Caenorhabditis elegans: one gene and its partners. The protein of the gene in region 2 purifies or fractionates together with the protein of the main gene of each other region. This does not show direct contact. Each region holds a gene or a part of one and is shown on either strand. Other genes may lie near its edges.

The links.
Region 1: the proteins of mrg-1 (region 2) and set-26 purify together in Caenorhabditis elegans (affinity purification with mass spectrometry, with the first as the bait; 2 studies listed by BioGRID). This does not show direct contact.
Region 3: the proteins of mrg-1 (region 2) and hecd-1 purify together in Caenorhabditis elegans (affinity purification with mass spectrometry, with the first as the bait; 2 studies listed by BioGRID). This does not show direct contact.

Annotation. Positions count from the first base shown.
Region 1 is NC_003282.8:16,652,868-16,657,840, forward strand, and holds the start of set-26 (Histone-lysine N-methyltransferase set-26), read right to left. Parts: upstream 3,017-4,973; 5' UTR 2,967-3,016; coding exon 2,861-2,966; intron 2,810-2,860; coding exon 2,439-2,809; intron 2,352-2,438; coding exon 2,011-2,351; intron 1,117-2,010; coding exon 210-1,116; intron 1-209. Other genes in the region: tsr-2 (Pre-rRNA-processing protein TSR2 homolog), read left to right, coding at 3,752-4,079, 4,140-4,336. UniProt on the Caenorhabditis elegans protein: Histone methyltransferase that mediates trimethylation of 'Lys-9' of histone H3 in vitro. Involved in transcriptional regulation. Plays a role in the negative regulation of lifespan and in heat resistance.
Region 2 is NC_003281.10:12,870,766-12,876,449, forward strand, and holds mrg-1 (Mortality factor related protein 1), read right to left. Parts: upstream 3,890-5,684; coding exon 3,395-3,889; intron 3,336-3,394; coding exon 3,187-3,335; intron 2,267-3,186; coding exon 2,047-2,266; intron 903-2,046; coding exon 753-902; 3' UTR 509-752; downstream 1-508. Other genes in the region: spcs-2 (Signal peptidase complex subunit 2), read left to right, coding at 4,266-4,346, 4,401-4,862; cec-7 (Chromo domain-containing protein), read right to left, coding at 5,102-5,407, 5,459-5,684. UniProt on the Caenorhabditis elegans protein: Protein involved in the remodeling of chromatin thereby regulating various processes including transcription, chromosome synapsis and genome integrity.
Region 3 is NC_003282.8:7,141,704-7,146,631, reverse strand, and holds the start of hecd-1 (E3 ubiquitin-protein ligase), read left to right. Parts: upstream 1-1,912; 5' UTR 1,913-2,020; intron 2,021-2,063; 5' UTR 2,064-2,067; coding exon 2,068-2,425; intron 2,426-2,471; coding exon 2,472-2,716; intron 2,717-2,785; coding exon 2,786-3,277; intron 3,278-3,322; coding exon 3,323-3,487; intron 3,488-3,659; coding exon 3,660-3,810; intron 3,811-3,855; coding exon 3,856-4,514; intron 4,515-4,592; coding exon 4,593-4,928. UniProt on the Caenorhabditis elegans protein: E3 ubiquitin-protein ligase which accepts ubiquitin from an E2 ubiquitin-conjugating enzyme in the form of a thioester and then directly transfers the ubiquitin to targeted substrates.

The DNA of each region.
Region 1 (4,973 bases), on a different chromosome or scaffold from region 2:
TTTTTTTTGAGCGTATAGACCTTAAAATAGGTTTAAACGAACAAAATTACTGATGAAAATTCGAGAAAAATGGCCTAATCTAGCTAAAATCTCCATTTTCGGCAAGTTTTTAGTCCAACATTGGAGATTTTTAGCTAAAATTAGGCCACTTTTCTCGAATTTTCACCGCGAAATTCGCTATTTTACGATTATTCTATCAAAAAAATCACCTTATCCGTAGTGAGCCTGGCAAAATGCGCATTCTTCTCCTCCTGAGTCATTCGATGCGGCGGCGTCGGCTTCAGGATTCCTTTTGGAGGATCTTCTGGAGCAGCATCCGGCACATCTTCTGGAGCAGCAGCAGCAGCCGACTCCTCTGGCGGATCCTCTTCTGTCAACTGAGCTGGTAGCTGATCACTAGCCTTCGGAATCGGCGTCGAGTAGGTATCCGTCACCTTAACCTGGAATCTTCTCGGCTCCAGCACTGGCGTCTGATGTTCTTGTGGAACTCGTTCCGAAAGTCGGCGAGTCGGTGAGCGGAGCAAGTCCTCCTGAGCCATAGATGGTCTTGGCGCTCTGCTACTAGAAGCTCCTGGTCTCTGCTGAATCACAATCTTTTCCGCGGATCTTTGAGCTGCAGCAGCCGGAAATTGTGGAGCCGCCCGTTGCCGGTTCATCTGCTGAAGCTCCTGTCGTTGCTCCGGAGTCATTCTGTGAGGAGCCACGTCGACAACTCTGCGCGGTGGAGCAGCTGCTGCTGGAGCAACAGGATGCTCAAACTCTTGGGTATCCATCGGACGAGTAACATGGATCGGACGAGCACGATTATTGTTCGCCGCTCCTCCAATCATTCCAGGTCTAGCTTGTGGTGGAACACGACGCATCGGATTAGCTCCTCCAACTGGCACCGCATTCACGATATGCTGATAAGAGCCGGGTGTTGGAGCCGCCGGAGCCGGGACACGTTGCTGTAAGCTTCCACGTGCTCCAGCTTGATGGTACATCTGCTGTTGTTGCTCTCGAACTCTGTTGATCGCGTTGGCGGCCGGCGAGTTTCGTGGTGGAAGTTGCCCGCGCATTGGTAGACCATTTCCAAAATCGTTCATGACGCGATATTGCGGACCATCTCGGACGACGCTGAAAATTGAGATTTTTAGTGTTTTTAAAAGGCTTTTTCGGGCTTTTAAATGTGGAGTAGCGCCAGTGCGGAAATTGCTTTAAAACACGCCTATGGTACCACAATGACCGAATATCATGATAAAAAATTCAAAGAAATTTTCTAGATTTCAAATGATTTTTTTTGAAAATTGAAAAAATCTCAGTTTTCCCCTAATTCCTATTTGAATTTCCGCCAATTGGATTTGTTCGTTGGAGCGCGCTTGAACGTTTTTAAATTTATTTATTTTAAAATTTTTGTTATTTTCCACCGATTTTTAATGTTTTCCGTGTACTTTTGCTCGAATTTTAGAGAAAAAGCCAAGATAAATGCAAATTTTCGATTAAAAAGCACGCTTACAGGCGTAAAAATGAAAAAGTAACGCTTTTAAACGATTTCGAACCTGAATTAACTAATTGCATTCTAATTTCAGGCGTAAATCAGTGCAATTAATTAATTCAGGCTCGAAGTCGTTTAAAAGCGTTACTTTTCATTTTTACTCCTGTAATCGTGTTTTTTAATCGAAAATTTGCATTTATTTTGACTTTTTCTCTAAAATTCAAGCAAAAATACAACGAAAACTTTAAAAATCGGTGGAAAATAACAAAAAATTTAAAAAATAAATTTAAAAACGTGCAAGCGCGCTCCAACGAACAAATCCAATTGGCGGAAATTCAAATAGGAATTAGGGGAAAACTGAGATTTTTTCAATTCTCAAAAAATCATTTAAAATCTAGAAAATCTTTTTGAATTTTTTTTTATCAAGATATTCGGTCATTTTGACCACATAGGCGTGTTTTAAAGCAATTTTCCCACAGGGTGTAGTCCTTTTTCAGGCCTTTTCGGGCTTTTTCAGACTTCTAAGCCTTCTATACCCTCTCTGCTGCATTCTCGAATCCATTCCACCAATTCCACCATACTCCACTTGATTTCCACCGATCGAGAAAGGCTGCGCAGCAACCATCGGCCGATTTTGAATATTATGGCGCACGGGAAGCTGTTGCTGCTGGGGAGCCACTGACGTTGATGGAAGACCACCGCCCGTCTGCTGGTTTCGTCGGTACTGTGTTCCCGGGGATCCCGGGCCGACGGCGTCTTCGGGCATCCATTGCTTGACAATGTTGCAGTCTTCGTCCAGGCCGGCGATACATGGGAACGGGCCTTCTGTCGGGAGAATGATTCGGTCCGCGGGATCCGGCGGATCGTAGTTGTGGTCCTGAAATATACAGAAAATTAAGTTTTGCATTGCAAATATTGATTTAAAACTGGAAAATAGCCTCTAAAATCGAGATTTTTCCCTTACACTATACGGCAACCAGAAGTTCGCCCTCAAAATCGCCTCTTCCACATCAGTATCATCATCGGAATCGATCCAAACTGTGTCTTCAGTCGGTCGTTCGGCTGCCAACTGTTCTTCTTCTGTCAATGGACGAGAATCTGCTGCTGCTGCTGGTTCACCAAAATTATTCGCTCTCTGCTGTGGAGCAACGTAGTTTGGCGGATTGTAGGCCGCCGGTTGAAAGACTGGAATCTGAGGAATCTGCTGCGGCTCGGGGATTTGCGGTTCTTGGTAGAATTCCTGATTCTCCATTTGATGGTCAACTGGGTAATTGTCCGGAGCCTCGTGTGTCGCTTCAGAAGCTTGTGGATCCTCTGAGACTCCTTGAATGGGCTCTGAAAATTTTTTAAACTTAGATTTCGGGCCATTACACAGCAAAATCCTACCTTGAGCCATAACAATTGGCTCGGCGATCTCAGGTTGTTGTTGCTGTAGTGGTGGTTGCTCGAAGAGCTCCTCGTCGGCTGGAAGCGTATGCTCACCGTCTGCCATTTTTCCTTGTCTAGCGACGACGACTTTCTGGCATGCAATACTTGACGAACCTGAAAATTGACAAAATTAAGGTGAGAACAATCGATAAAATTAGAAAAACTATCGAATACGCCAGGAAAAAAATTAAAAGACATGAAAAACCAAAGAAAACGCAGGGAAAAATATCAAAAATCAATAATTTCCGCATGATTGTGGAGAGATGTTTGAAAAAATCGTAGCATGGTTTTATTACGCGTTTCTTCAGATTTTACCTATTTTTTCTATAAAACTAATCATTTCTAAGGTTTTTACATCAAAAAACTGATCAAAAACCTGTCGGAATATTTTTTTCCAGCCGATTTTTCAAAACATTCAAAACCATTTGAATTCTCTAATTTCTGAGGTTTCTGGTCATCAATAAGCAATTCCAACATGATAATTCCATCAAAAATGCTCAAAATTATTGAAAAACTCGAAAAAAAAGAAGAAAGTGGTGGGAAATTCGATGAGAAACGGTCAAAATTTGAACGTCGAGCCCTGTCGTAAATCGAAATCCAGTGACCGCAACGCAGACACGCCGCGTCGCGGTCGATTCTGGCATGATGCCAAGTCGGTCTCGGCGGGAAATACGCAATTGTCAGCGGTGTGTTTGCGGACTTGCACACCGTAGTCTCGTGGGAAAATTGTGAGATTTTTATTTTTTTTTTGCATAAAATCATTTTTAGAGCATTTTTACAGTATTTTCTTCAAAAAAAAACCTCAGTTTTCTATTTATATTGTGTAAATATTGTGTTTTACAGGTAAATATGAGCATAAATGCCGACGTTCTCCGCAATTTCACGGGAAGAACACTCAAATCTTGGAGCGGTTATCAATTGGCACTGGACAACTCGTGTGGCGGAGATGAGACCCGCGAGAAGGACAAGTGGTTTCTGGAGGTGCTCTGCGAGCAATTGACAACGACACGCGGTCTGAAAGCTGAAGAACTCGAGGAGTGGCTCACAAATATCCTGTATCACGATTTCGACCTGATTTTGGACGACGATTCGAGTTATCAAATCGCATTTTTCCTATTAGAAGGCTTCGGTTATATTAAAAACGAGAATGAGGCCGGGATTCAGCAGCTGCTTTCAAGTAGGATTTTTTTTTATTTTAGCAAATTTTTTTAAAAAATAAATCCTGTTTTTCCTACAGAACTCCCTTCCGACGAAGAATTAGAAAAAGCGAAACGAGAATCAGTGCGCGGACCTGAAAACGACGAAGATGACGAAGAAATGGACATTCCAGAGGACGAAGAGGAATCAGAAGAAGGCCCATCAGAGCCACGTGGTCCCCAGCGACAAGTTGTTGTAGACGATGATGGCTGGACGACAATCACCAAAAGACAATAAACTTTATTGATTTTTTTTTCAAAATATCTGAAAATTCTAAATAATCACGTTATTCTTGTTTTCCTGTTGATTTTACTCATTTTCCGCCTGTTTTTGCTTGTTTTTGCCCTGTTTTCTGTGTTTCTTTGTGCCTTTCTCATAAAAAATCCATAGTTTTTTGCAGCTTTATTTGACGAAAAGCGAGGAATTTTGGAAATTCTCCCAGAAATCTCCTGAAAGCCGATTTTTCAACGCAGATGCAAATTGCCACGTGGAATATTCGGGAAAACTCGGATTTTGGAAAAAAAACCACTAGTTTTTCAGATTTTTCAGGCCCCCAGGCAAGCTAAAACGCCATTTTTCATGGAATTCGACTATTTTGTCTTGTATAACAAAGAAAAATTCGCACGCGCATGCACGAACAAATTTAATTATTTTTCGTGTTTTGTTACCCCGCGGCGGAGGCGGCGGCGGTAAATAACTAGAAAAGATCAGAAATCGCCGAAAGTTCTCACATAGTTCACATTATTATTTTGCAACGAAAATATTTTATAAATATTCATTTTCTTCGAAAAAACCTGCAGGAATTGATAAAAAGCCCGAAAAGTGCGCTGGAATTCTGAAAAAAAAATGATTTTGCTTCAAAAAATCGAAAATT
Region 2 (5,684 bases):
CAACTTCTTGTAATTTTTGAGAATGCGTATTGAACAACATATCCGACGCGCAAAATATCTTGTAGCAAAAACTACAGTAATATGACTACTGTAGTGTCGATTTACGGACCCGGATTTTTGAATTGTTTGAATAGTGATAGAAGAAAATTAAATATCGCTGTCACTATTTAAAAATAAATTCAATTCGAAAATCGAGCCCGTAAATCGACAAGAATTTTCGCTACGAGATATTTTGCGGGTCAGTTATGTTGTTCAATAAGCATTCTCAATATTTAACCATCTTAATCATGAAACTTCAAAATCGGAAGAAAAAAGTATATTCTAATATTCAAAAAAATCTTCAGTCTTCCTCTTCTTTCCAGTCTGGCACGTGGAATGCGAGATGGAATAGTTTTGGGGGCACGCAGACATTATATCAAATCTCGATAGGCTAAAAATGGCGGGGAGTTGGAAGAGAAGAAGAATCTGGAAAAATATGAATGTGGGGGGCTATTGAAAAGAAAATGAGAATCATATTCATTAGAATAGTTGGGAAACAACTAAACGGAAAATTGAACGATAATGGAATGCGAAATGTGGAAGTCGTCAGAAAACGTGAGATTAACGTGAACAAAATATGGATCTCCACGATTTCACAAAAACATAATGGTGGGGCTAGCTTTGGAAAATAATGAACAATGTATAAAATTATTGAAGTTATATCGGTGTATTGAAGATCGTCTGGGATGGAACACATGATGAAGGAGATCAGTCTATTGATTCGCTCCAACTCCGTCGTCGGCGGCGAGAGATCGGCGATAGTAGTCGTTGGAGGCACCTTGATAATCAGACGATCCTCTGTAGTACTTCCCGTGATTCTTATTCAGGAACACAATCAAATCGTGAACTCCAATCATGATGCGCTGAAAATTGATTTATTTTATTTTTGGAGCATGGGACTACGCTCAGTGGGGAAATTGCTTTAAAACACGCCTATGGTACCACAATGACCGAATATCATGATTAAAAAAATTCAAAAAAAAATTTCTAGATTTTATATGATTTTTCGAAAATTGAAAAAATCTCAGTTTTCACCTAATTATTTTTGAATTACCGTCAATTGGATTTGTTCGATGGAGCGCGCTTGCATTATTTTCATTAATTAATTTTATTTTTTCTCGTTATTTGGCTGGTTTTCTTCATTTTCTATGCTTTTAAAAAGGACAAATGCGAAATGTTTGTTAAAAAGTAATTGAAAATGAGTAAAACTGTGAAATATACTAATCTCAGGCTTGTCGGAACTCAGAATATCACAGTTTTACGCATTTTCAATTACTTTTTAACAAACATTTCGCATTTGTCCTATTTATTTCTTTCATTTTCCGAGGAAAAAACATAGAAAATGAAGAAAACCAGTCAAATAACGAGAAAAAATAAAATTAATTAATGAAAATAATGCAAGCTCGCTCCATCGAACAAATCCAATTGACGGTAATTCAAAAATAATTAGGTGAAAACTGAGATTTTTCCAATTTTCAAAAAATCATATAAAATTTATAAAATTTTTTTGAATTTTTTATCATGATATTCTGTCATTGTGGTCCCATAGGCGTGTTTTAAAGCAATTTCGGGCTCCTGAATTCACGGAAAATCGTTTTTTTTTGCTATTTTTTATTTATATTAATGTTGAGAAAAATGATACGCATTGAAAAAATGTAAATTTTGGAAATTTGGCCTCAAACTGGATCGAAACCGTCAGTTTTTCGATTTCAGGATCGTAAAATATTCAATTTTGTGGAGAAAACGCAGATTCACAAAAAAAAATTGATTTTTAAAATTAAACAAGGCAATTTCCCCATTTTTCAATTTTAAAAATCAATGTTTTGTGAATCTGCTTATTCCCTACAAAATGGGATTTTTTATGATCCTGAAATCGAGAAAATTGACGGTTTCGATCCAATTTTCGGCCTAATTTTTCCAAATTTTACACCTTTTCGCCAAAAAAAAACAGATTCCGTGTGGAAACCAGATTCAGGAGACGCTCCAGGAGTTGAACTTCGAACATACGTTAATAACATGATCATTCCATTGAGTGAGCTTCAGGTAGTCCGGGAGCTTTGCGAGCATTCTCAAGAAATGCACAATTCCGTACTCTTGAGATGGACGGAATCCACTATCCTGCAGGGCGGTCGGGTTTGTGATGTCGATTCCCTTCTCCATAGCTCGCTTTTTGACAAGGTCATTGTACTGTGGCCGCTCGAACTTATAGAGCAGTTGGTAGCTGGAACTAAACAATTCATCCTTACATCGTAACTGTTTCAAGTGGGATTGGGGCGACTATTCTACGAAGCGGAGGGCATTATGTGTACTCACTGCTACTTTTATCGAACGAGGGACGAGGAAAAGCGGTTTCTAGGCCATGGCCGAGGGGCCGACAAGACTTAGCGGCAATTTATCTTGCTTTGTTTTCCGCGTGTTTTCTTTTGTTTTTCAAAAAAATTTTCCGTTTTTTCTTATTAAAACTAAATAAAAGATAAATAAATATTTTTGTAGATGCCAAAACAATTTCCAGGTGAAAAAATTGTGTATTCAGTCGGCAAGAAGCGGTGAAAGTGGTCAATGTTATATGATGGATTACGGTAATACTAAACCTAATCGTTTTTCTGAAACATGGCATTTATTCTGCTTAGAGACTGAAACTATTCGATTTTCATAACGAGACCGCTCAAAAAGTTCTGAGATTTTTGCACAAAAAGTTGAATTTTGAAAATCTCAAATCTTTTTCAGCGGTCTCGTTATGATGAAAATCGGGTAGTTTCAGTCTCTAAGCAGAATATATACCATGTTTCAGAAAAGGTTTAGATTTAGTATTCCCGTAATCCATCATATAACATTGAGCACTTTCACCGCTACTTGCCGACTGAATACATAATTTTTTCACTTGGAAATTGTTTTGGCATCTGCAAAAATATTTATTTATCTTTTATTTAGTTTTAATAAGAAAAAAACGGGAAAAGTCTATGAAAAATTAAAGAAAACACGCGGAAAACAAAGCAAGATAAATGGCCGCTGAAACTTGTCGGCCCCTCGGCCATGGGCTAGAAACCGCTTTTCCTCGTCCCTCGTTCGAAAAAAGTTGCAGTGGTACTAAACATTGGGCTACGTGCAATTTGCATGCATCTGTTTAACATATTCGAATTAACCAACCCCAAAGTGACATTAAAATAGTCGACGAGTCCACGCGCGGTGCAAATCAGAGCCAAATTCGTGATTTTTATATCAGCTTCCTCGTATTCGATGAGCAGATCATCGACCGTTCTCATTTGCTCATTACTGACCGGAATGGTTTTGATGTACTGAAAATGTTGGATTTGAAAATCGGAAAAAATGATATTTTAATTTTTTTTATGCTTACGTCCTCGATGATTTGATCAACTGAATACTCGTGTGGCACGATGTTTATGAAATAACGGCAGACAAGATCGTAGTCATCGATCAGGATCTTTCTCAGTGGCTTCGGAAGCTCGACCTTCATATCGTCGGCGGTCATAACCGGCGCAATTGTCACCGATTTCGCCTTTTTTCCCTTCGACGTCCCCGGAGTGTCATCACGATCGTCTCGTGGTGCTTCAGCCGCAAGACTTTTCTTCTTCGGCTTCAATGCAGTTGTTGGCAGCTCTGCGTTGTGTTTCTCTGCATACTCCGAGGCTGTTCCCTTGAAAATGCGGTCTTTCTCCTCGCCGACTGGGATTTTCTCATCGTATCGATTGTTCCAGCCCTTGAAGTGAACGCAGTAGAGTTCCTTGCCATCGCTGTTGGTTTTGATATCAGTAATTTTGGCATCGTATGGTTTGCCTTTGTAGATGCACGCGACGTTCTCGCCGACTTCGAAGTTCTTCTTTGAAGACATCTGAAGGAATTAAAGAAATTAATCGATTAATTGGTGTTTTAAGCGAGTTTTAGCAGCAATTCTAGCCAATGATGTATATTTGAACGATTTTTAATCAAAAAATAGATTAAAAATATCGAAAATTCGATAAATTTATCGATAAAAACAAAAAAAAAGCTTTTCTCAAAGCTCAACGGCATTTTCGCAATTCAAACCCCCCTGCGGCGCGGTTTTCTAAGCAAATGCAATAGCGCCGCGCACGAAAAAGTACGCAAACACCACGACGCAATAATGCAGACTTCCAATTTTGAGACGTCACCACTAGCTTTTTGCTCATTTCTTTTGGGTTTTTTTGGATTTCTATTCAATTTTTATTCTCAAATATATTAATTTTCAGATGACGGACGAGCCGGTGAAAGTTGTGAACAAATGGGACGGTCCAACAGTGAAGAATGCCCTTGATGAAGTCGTCAAAAAGGTTTGCTCTCCGAAACTCCAAAATTAAAATTAAAATTAAAATCTTTCGTTTCAGATTCTGAACGACAAAGTCGGATGGACGGAATCGCATAATCTAATGAATCTGCGTCTTCTCATCTCATTCATCGGCGTCGCGTTCTCCGCGTTCGCCTGCGGCTACGACTACTACGAGCCGTTCCCAAAGTCGAAAATCGTGCTCGCCGTGTGCTCGGTTTCCTACTTCATATGCATGGGAATTCTTCAAATGTATCAGTGGTACGTCGAGAAGGACTGCATCTACGAGGCCACCGAAGTCGACGGAAAACAATCGAGAAAATGGGCGTGGAGCTCGGAGATCAAGGCTCACGACGATAAGTACACGCTGTCGGCCGAGTTTAAGAAGGAAGGACGCTCTGGACAGGGAAAAATCACGAAATCTATCGGAGCTTATATCGATAACGATGGAGAGATCATCGTGCCACTTGTGAAGAAGGAGGTCGACGACTTGTACAACCGCTTGATTCGTAGCGAACAATAATTTATTTAATTTATCTGGTTTTCTTGGCCTAATTTATTTCCCCTTTTCTTCGCTTTTCATGGGTGCCCCTTTCTCTCTCCATCTATCCTGTTTCTTGTCTGTCAAAAGCTAATATTTCCAGCATTTTATACAATATGAACTTGTCAATTTCGGTAAGAATTCATTGTACAAATAGCTTGAAAAGAACAATTAACAAACACAAAATTTTAGCAATTTAACAATTTATTAGCAGATCCCATCTACTTCTTCATCTCGAGCATCTCTGCGTACTTCGCGGCCGAGCCCTTGAACAATCGACCCTGCTCCTCGCCGACTGGAATTTTCTCATCGTAACGGCTGTTCCATCCTTTGAAGTGAACGCAGTAAAAATCCTTCCCATCAGTGTCGGTTATGATGTCAACGATGTACGCGTCATATGGCTTTCCGTTCTGTGTGCACGTGACTTGCTCACCGATTATGAATTGTTCTCTACGTTTTCCGACTAGCCGCGGAGCGTTCTCTTTCGTCGCTTGAGGCTCTGTGGATTTTTCATGGTTTCTAGCGGACTGAAAATGCAAAATTTATTATTTAAAGCTTCAATATTCTCTGAGCAGTACCTTGCGCATTGTGACAACTGGAGCTCGGTAACCATCTGCTATCCCTTTAAAAATACGGTCTGTCTCCTCGCCGATTGGAATTTGCTCATCGTAACGATTGTTCCATCCTTTGAAGTGAATGCAGTAGCACTCCTTTCCATCCTTGTCGGGCTTGATGTCGGTGATGACCGCGTCATATACTTTTCCCTTGTAGGTGCATGCGACTAGCTCGCCGATTACGAATCTT
Region 3 (4,928 bases), on a different chromosome or scaffold from region 2:
TAGCGACAACCAGGCACGGGAATGATGGGGGATCCGTTGAAAAAGACGTCTTGGCTCCGGCAAAACTTGTTCTTCAAAAGAACAGTCTTTGACTGATTGATCTTGAGTCCGTAAATTGAGCTTATTCGGTCCAAAATTTCCAGTCGTTCTTGAACTTCTTCCGGTGTGGAGCATATCAGGACTACGTCGTCCGCAAATTCCAGTCTTCTTATGTGTCTGCCTTCCACTTTGATGCCAACTCCCGCGAACTCATTGTCGCAATCCGTCAGAATAGCTTGGAGAGCAGCACTGAAGAGAGCTGGAGAAGCTGAGTCTCCTTGACGAACCCCGGTGCGGAGGTTGACTTTGAGCTTCTTATCGTGCACTGAGATCTCAGCTTGTCCTCCTTCCATCATTTCCTGAATCATCTTGCGCATGGCGGGATCGGCTCCTGCTTTCTCGAGACTGGAAACCACAGCCGAGTGGCCGATTTTGTCGAAAGCCGTCTGGTAGTCAATGAATAGGAGAAGGAGTGGGAGCTGGAATTCGTTGCACTTTTCGATAAGCATGGTGAGGCTTTGAATGTTGTCAGCACAGCATCTCCCTTTTCTAAAGCCGTTTTGACTTTCGTCCAGGTAGCTCTCCAAGGATGGTGTCAGCCTTCTGGTCAGAATGCTCGAGAACATTTTGCTCAGAATGGGGAGGAGCGAGATTGGTCGGAAGTCTTTGATCTTAGTGGCTTTGGCCTTTTTCGGTATCAGTTTGACATCCGATATTTTCCAAAGATCAGGGACCTTGTTGTGTTGGAGGATGTTGTTGAACAGAGCAGTTACTGAGTCCACTACAGTGTCCCCTCCATTTTTGAGCATCGCCGCATCCACCTTGTCGAGACCTGGAGCAGATTTGGTCTTGAGTTTCCTGATCTCCTGACGTACTTCGCACTTGAGAATGGCTGGGACGGGATCAAGACTCGGAGGATTAGGATTTTGTGGTTGACGTGGAGAGTTCGTGGGAGCCTCGTATAGTGATTTGAAGTGAGATTCGACGATTTTTCGGATTTCGATGCGGTTGGCCGTGAGAGATCCGTCAGGCCTTTCGAGATATTGCAAGGGGATTTCGGCAGGGATGGATTTCTTCAATATTTTTGAAGATCTTTTCTTCCGACAAGCTTCAAGAATCGAGTCGTACTTTTGAGTGAGGTCTTCTGTAATCGATCTTCTTGCCTCTTGAGACAATTTACGGAGCTTGGCAATATCTGGAGCGGAGGATTCAAGGACTGATCTCCTCTCTTGCAGAATCATGTTAGTCCTTTGGCTGAATTTTTGCGGTTTGAGGGCTTTTAAGTAACTCATTCTATCGTTAAAAGTCTCTCATTTCTACAAAATTTGTGTCAGGTGAAACATTTATCAAATAGACAAGTATTATACGGTTCGTCGAACGTTTTTGTGACTTTCATCCATCTATAGTTGTTCGCAAGTTAGTTTTTTCCACTCTAGCCGCCTCTCTTCTGCAAAAATCTATGTCACGTTTGCCCCCGAGTTATTTGTGCAAATGCGCCCCAACGACAAAATGTGTATAGTGACGTTCGCACCGCCGTCGTCGATTCCTCCACACCTCTACTCGTTTCTTCCCGCCAGATTTTATGTGATTCGTTGTTCTCTGTTGATTTCTGACTAATCGATAAGATCGAAGCTCTGTGAAAAACGAAAGTTAATATCAAATAATCATAATTAAATAGTGATGTTTTAAGCTCGTTTTTTAAGAAAAAAAAAAGTTTCTAAATTATTGATTTTCAAACGATCCGGAACTTTTTCACACAACACTTTATATTTAGGGACTTTCGTACTATTAAACAGATTTTGAACGCCCGTTTCCTATCGATTTTTTCATTTCGATTATTATTCCAGTCCAATTACACTTGCTCATAAGTTATTTTCAGAAATTGGGTAGAGCCACATTTAACCTTCTTTCGAATTCTTGGGAGAAACATTTTTTATAAGTATATGCTTCAATATTCGCTTCGCTTTTGATTGGGAAAAAGGTAAGTACGAATACACTGTGTATAAATATTTTTTTTTCTTAAGGAAAATGGACGGAATAGATCCGGAAACACTCCTCGAGTGGCTCCAAACGGGTATTGGCGATGAACGGGATCTTCAATTAATGGCTCTTGAACAACTATGCATGCTTCTTCTGATGGCTGACAATATTGATCGATGCTTCGAATCATGCCCACCACGAACATTTATTCCAGCACTATGCAAAATTTTCATCGATGAAACAGCACCTGATAATGTGCTCGAAGTAACTGCTCGCGCAATCACTTATTATCTGGACGTGTCAAATGAATGCACTCGTCGCATCACACAAGTCGACGGAGCCGTGAAGGCTATCTGCACACGTCTTGCCGCTGCAGACATTTCAGATAGATCAAGTAAAGATCTGGGTAAGTGTATTTTTCAGGCTGTCAAAATTATTTTTGAAATTTTCAGCTGAACAATGTGTCAAACTATTGGAACATGTGTGTCAACGTGAAACAATGGCAGTCTATGATGCAGGAGGAATAAATGCAATGCTCACTTTAGTTAGAGTACATGGAACACAAGTTCACAAAGACACGATGCATTCAGCAATGTCAGTAGTGACACGATTATGTGGTAAAATGGAACCAACTGATCCAGAATTGGGAAAATGTGCAGAAAGTCTTGGAGCTCTCCTTGAACATGAAGACCCGAAGGTTTGTATTTTATTTGTTACTAAAATTCCCACATTTTCATTTGCCTCACATAAAATCAGTCTGCTTCAGGTGTCGGAAAGTGCTCTCAGATGTTTCGCCGCGCTTACTGATCGCTTTGTTCGTAAAATGATGGATCCAGCAGAGCTAGCAATGCATAGCAATCTTGTCGAACATTTGATATCAATTATGGTTGCTTCAAACGACGAAAACTCTCCGACCACTGCTTCTGCCAATATTCTCTCAATTGTTCTTTCTTTGATTGGAAATTTGTGCCGAGGTTCCAGCCTTATTACAGAAAAAGTGCTCACATCGCCTAACATGATTACTGGCCTCAAAGCTACTCTTACAAACAAAGAAGAACGAGTGGTAACAGATGGTCTTCGATTTTGTGATCTTCTTTTAGTTCTTCTTTGTGAAGGACGTAGTGCTCTTCCCCTCACTTCAGTAGTATCAGGTGATTATGCAGCAGGTAGTGGAGCTGAACGTGTTCATAGACAATTGATTGACGCCATCAGACAGAAAGATTTGACTGCTTTGGTGGATGCCATCGAAAGTGGACAGGTAACATAGCTATATTTGATCACATAAAAATTTAAAAAAATTAAGGTTGATGTGAATTTTGCTGATGATGTTGGACAATCACTGACTAATTGGGCGTCTGCGTTTGGCTCGATCGAAATGGTACAGTATTTGTGTGATAAGGGGTCCGATGTCAATAAGGGGCACAAGAGCAGTTCTTTGCACTATGCTGCTTGTTTTGGACGGCCGGATGTGAGTTGCGACGCGAATGTCTTTCGTGTGATACGTGCACTCGCTCATTTTTATTACAATACATACTTGCTTCAGTAGGAAAATGTTATGAGCTGTTATTGCACACTCACACGTTAGATAATCATATTGTAGTCGTGACTTGTTTTCCCGGAGTGAGCATTGTTTATCTCAGGTTGTGAAATTGCTGCTTCAGCGTGGCGCCAATCCTGATCTACGAGACGAAGATGGCAAGACAGCTTTGGACAAGGCACGAGAAAGATCTGATGATGATCACAATCAAGTCGCCAACATTCTTGAATCGCCTAGCGCATTCATGAGAAATAGTAAGTCTACATTGTTCTGGTCTTCAACAAATACTTTTCTTTCAGAAGAAGATCCGAAGGTGAAAGCATCAACGTCGAAACAGCCAGGTACTTCAACGAAACCTGAGCTTCCAAATCCAAACCTTGTTCGCAAAGTTTTGCATCAACTTCTTCCAATATTCTGTGAGATATTCCAAAAGTCTCTCAACGGAAGTGTTCGTCGCACATCACTGTCTCTGATGCGAAAAATTGTGGAAAACATTGGAGATCTTCGTCAAAGCGCCGTGGGAGATGGCAATGCTCCAGCTGCACAGTCCGCACGAAAAATGTCTACAGATGTGTCTGCTGGTGCTGAATCTTTGGTAGCTGTTGTCGTTTCTGTAATGGATCAAGAAGATGATCATGAGGGTCACGAACAAGTGCTTCTTATTCTGGAATCTCTTTTGGAAAAAGATGCCGAACTCTGGGTTATTGAATTGGTGCGACTTGGTGTGTTTGAACGTGTCGAGGCGATGGCAAAAGAGCCACCAAAGGGATTGGAGGAAGTTTTGAATGCAATTCATTTGGAGGGAAGATCTAGAGTTACACCCATGGAAATTGACTTTGAGAATCAACCCTCGTCATCAACAGCTGTTCCTACGGCGAACGACATCATGGATACCACTGTTCCATCTTCTTCTGGTGGAGCCGACGCTGAATCAAACTCGAATCCTTCTACAATTGAGGTGTGGTTTTTACAACTTGATAGTTTCCTTTTCTATTTAACAGTTTGAGTAAGAATTTTTCGGAATTTCACTTTTCAGATGGCTGATCCAGAATCATCAACTCCTTCGTCATCCACACAGCAATCTATTTCTAAACCAAAAGCAACAGCCAGTTCAACAGCATCTTCAGCTATTCTTCAAGTGGTATCCAAATTGAGTAGTGTTGCCAGTCTCGATAAATCAGCTGCCGCAGTTGATAAGAAACCAACAAAGACAGTATTGAGCCAGGGAACACCTTATCGTTGGAAAGAATGGCGTATCGTACGCGGAACCACATCTCTATTCATCTGGAGTGATGTCCTGCTCATTGAGTTACCATTCCAATCTAATGGATGGTTCCGTTATTTAGCCGATAATGACTCACATGTACAGTTC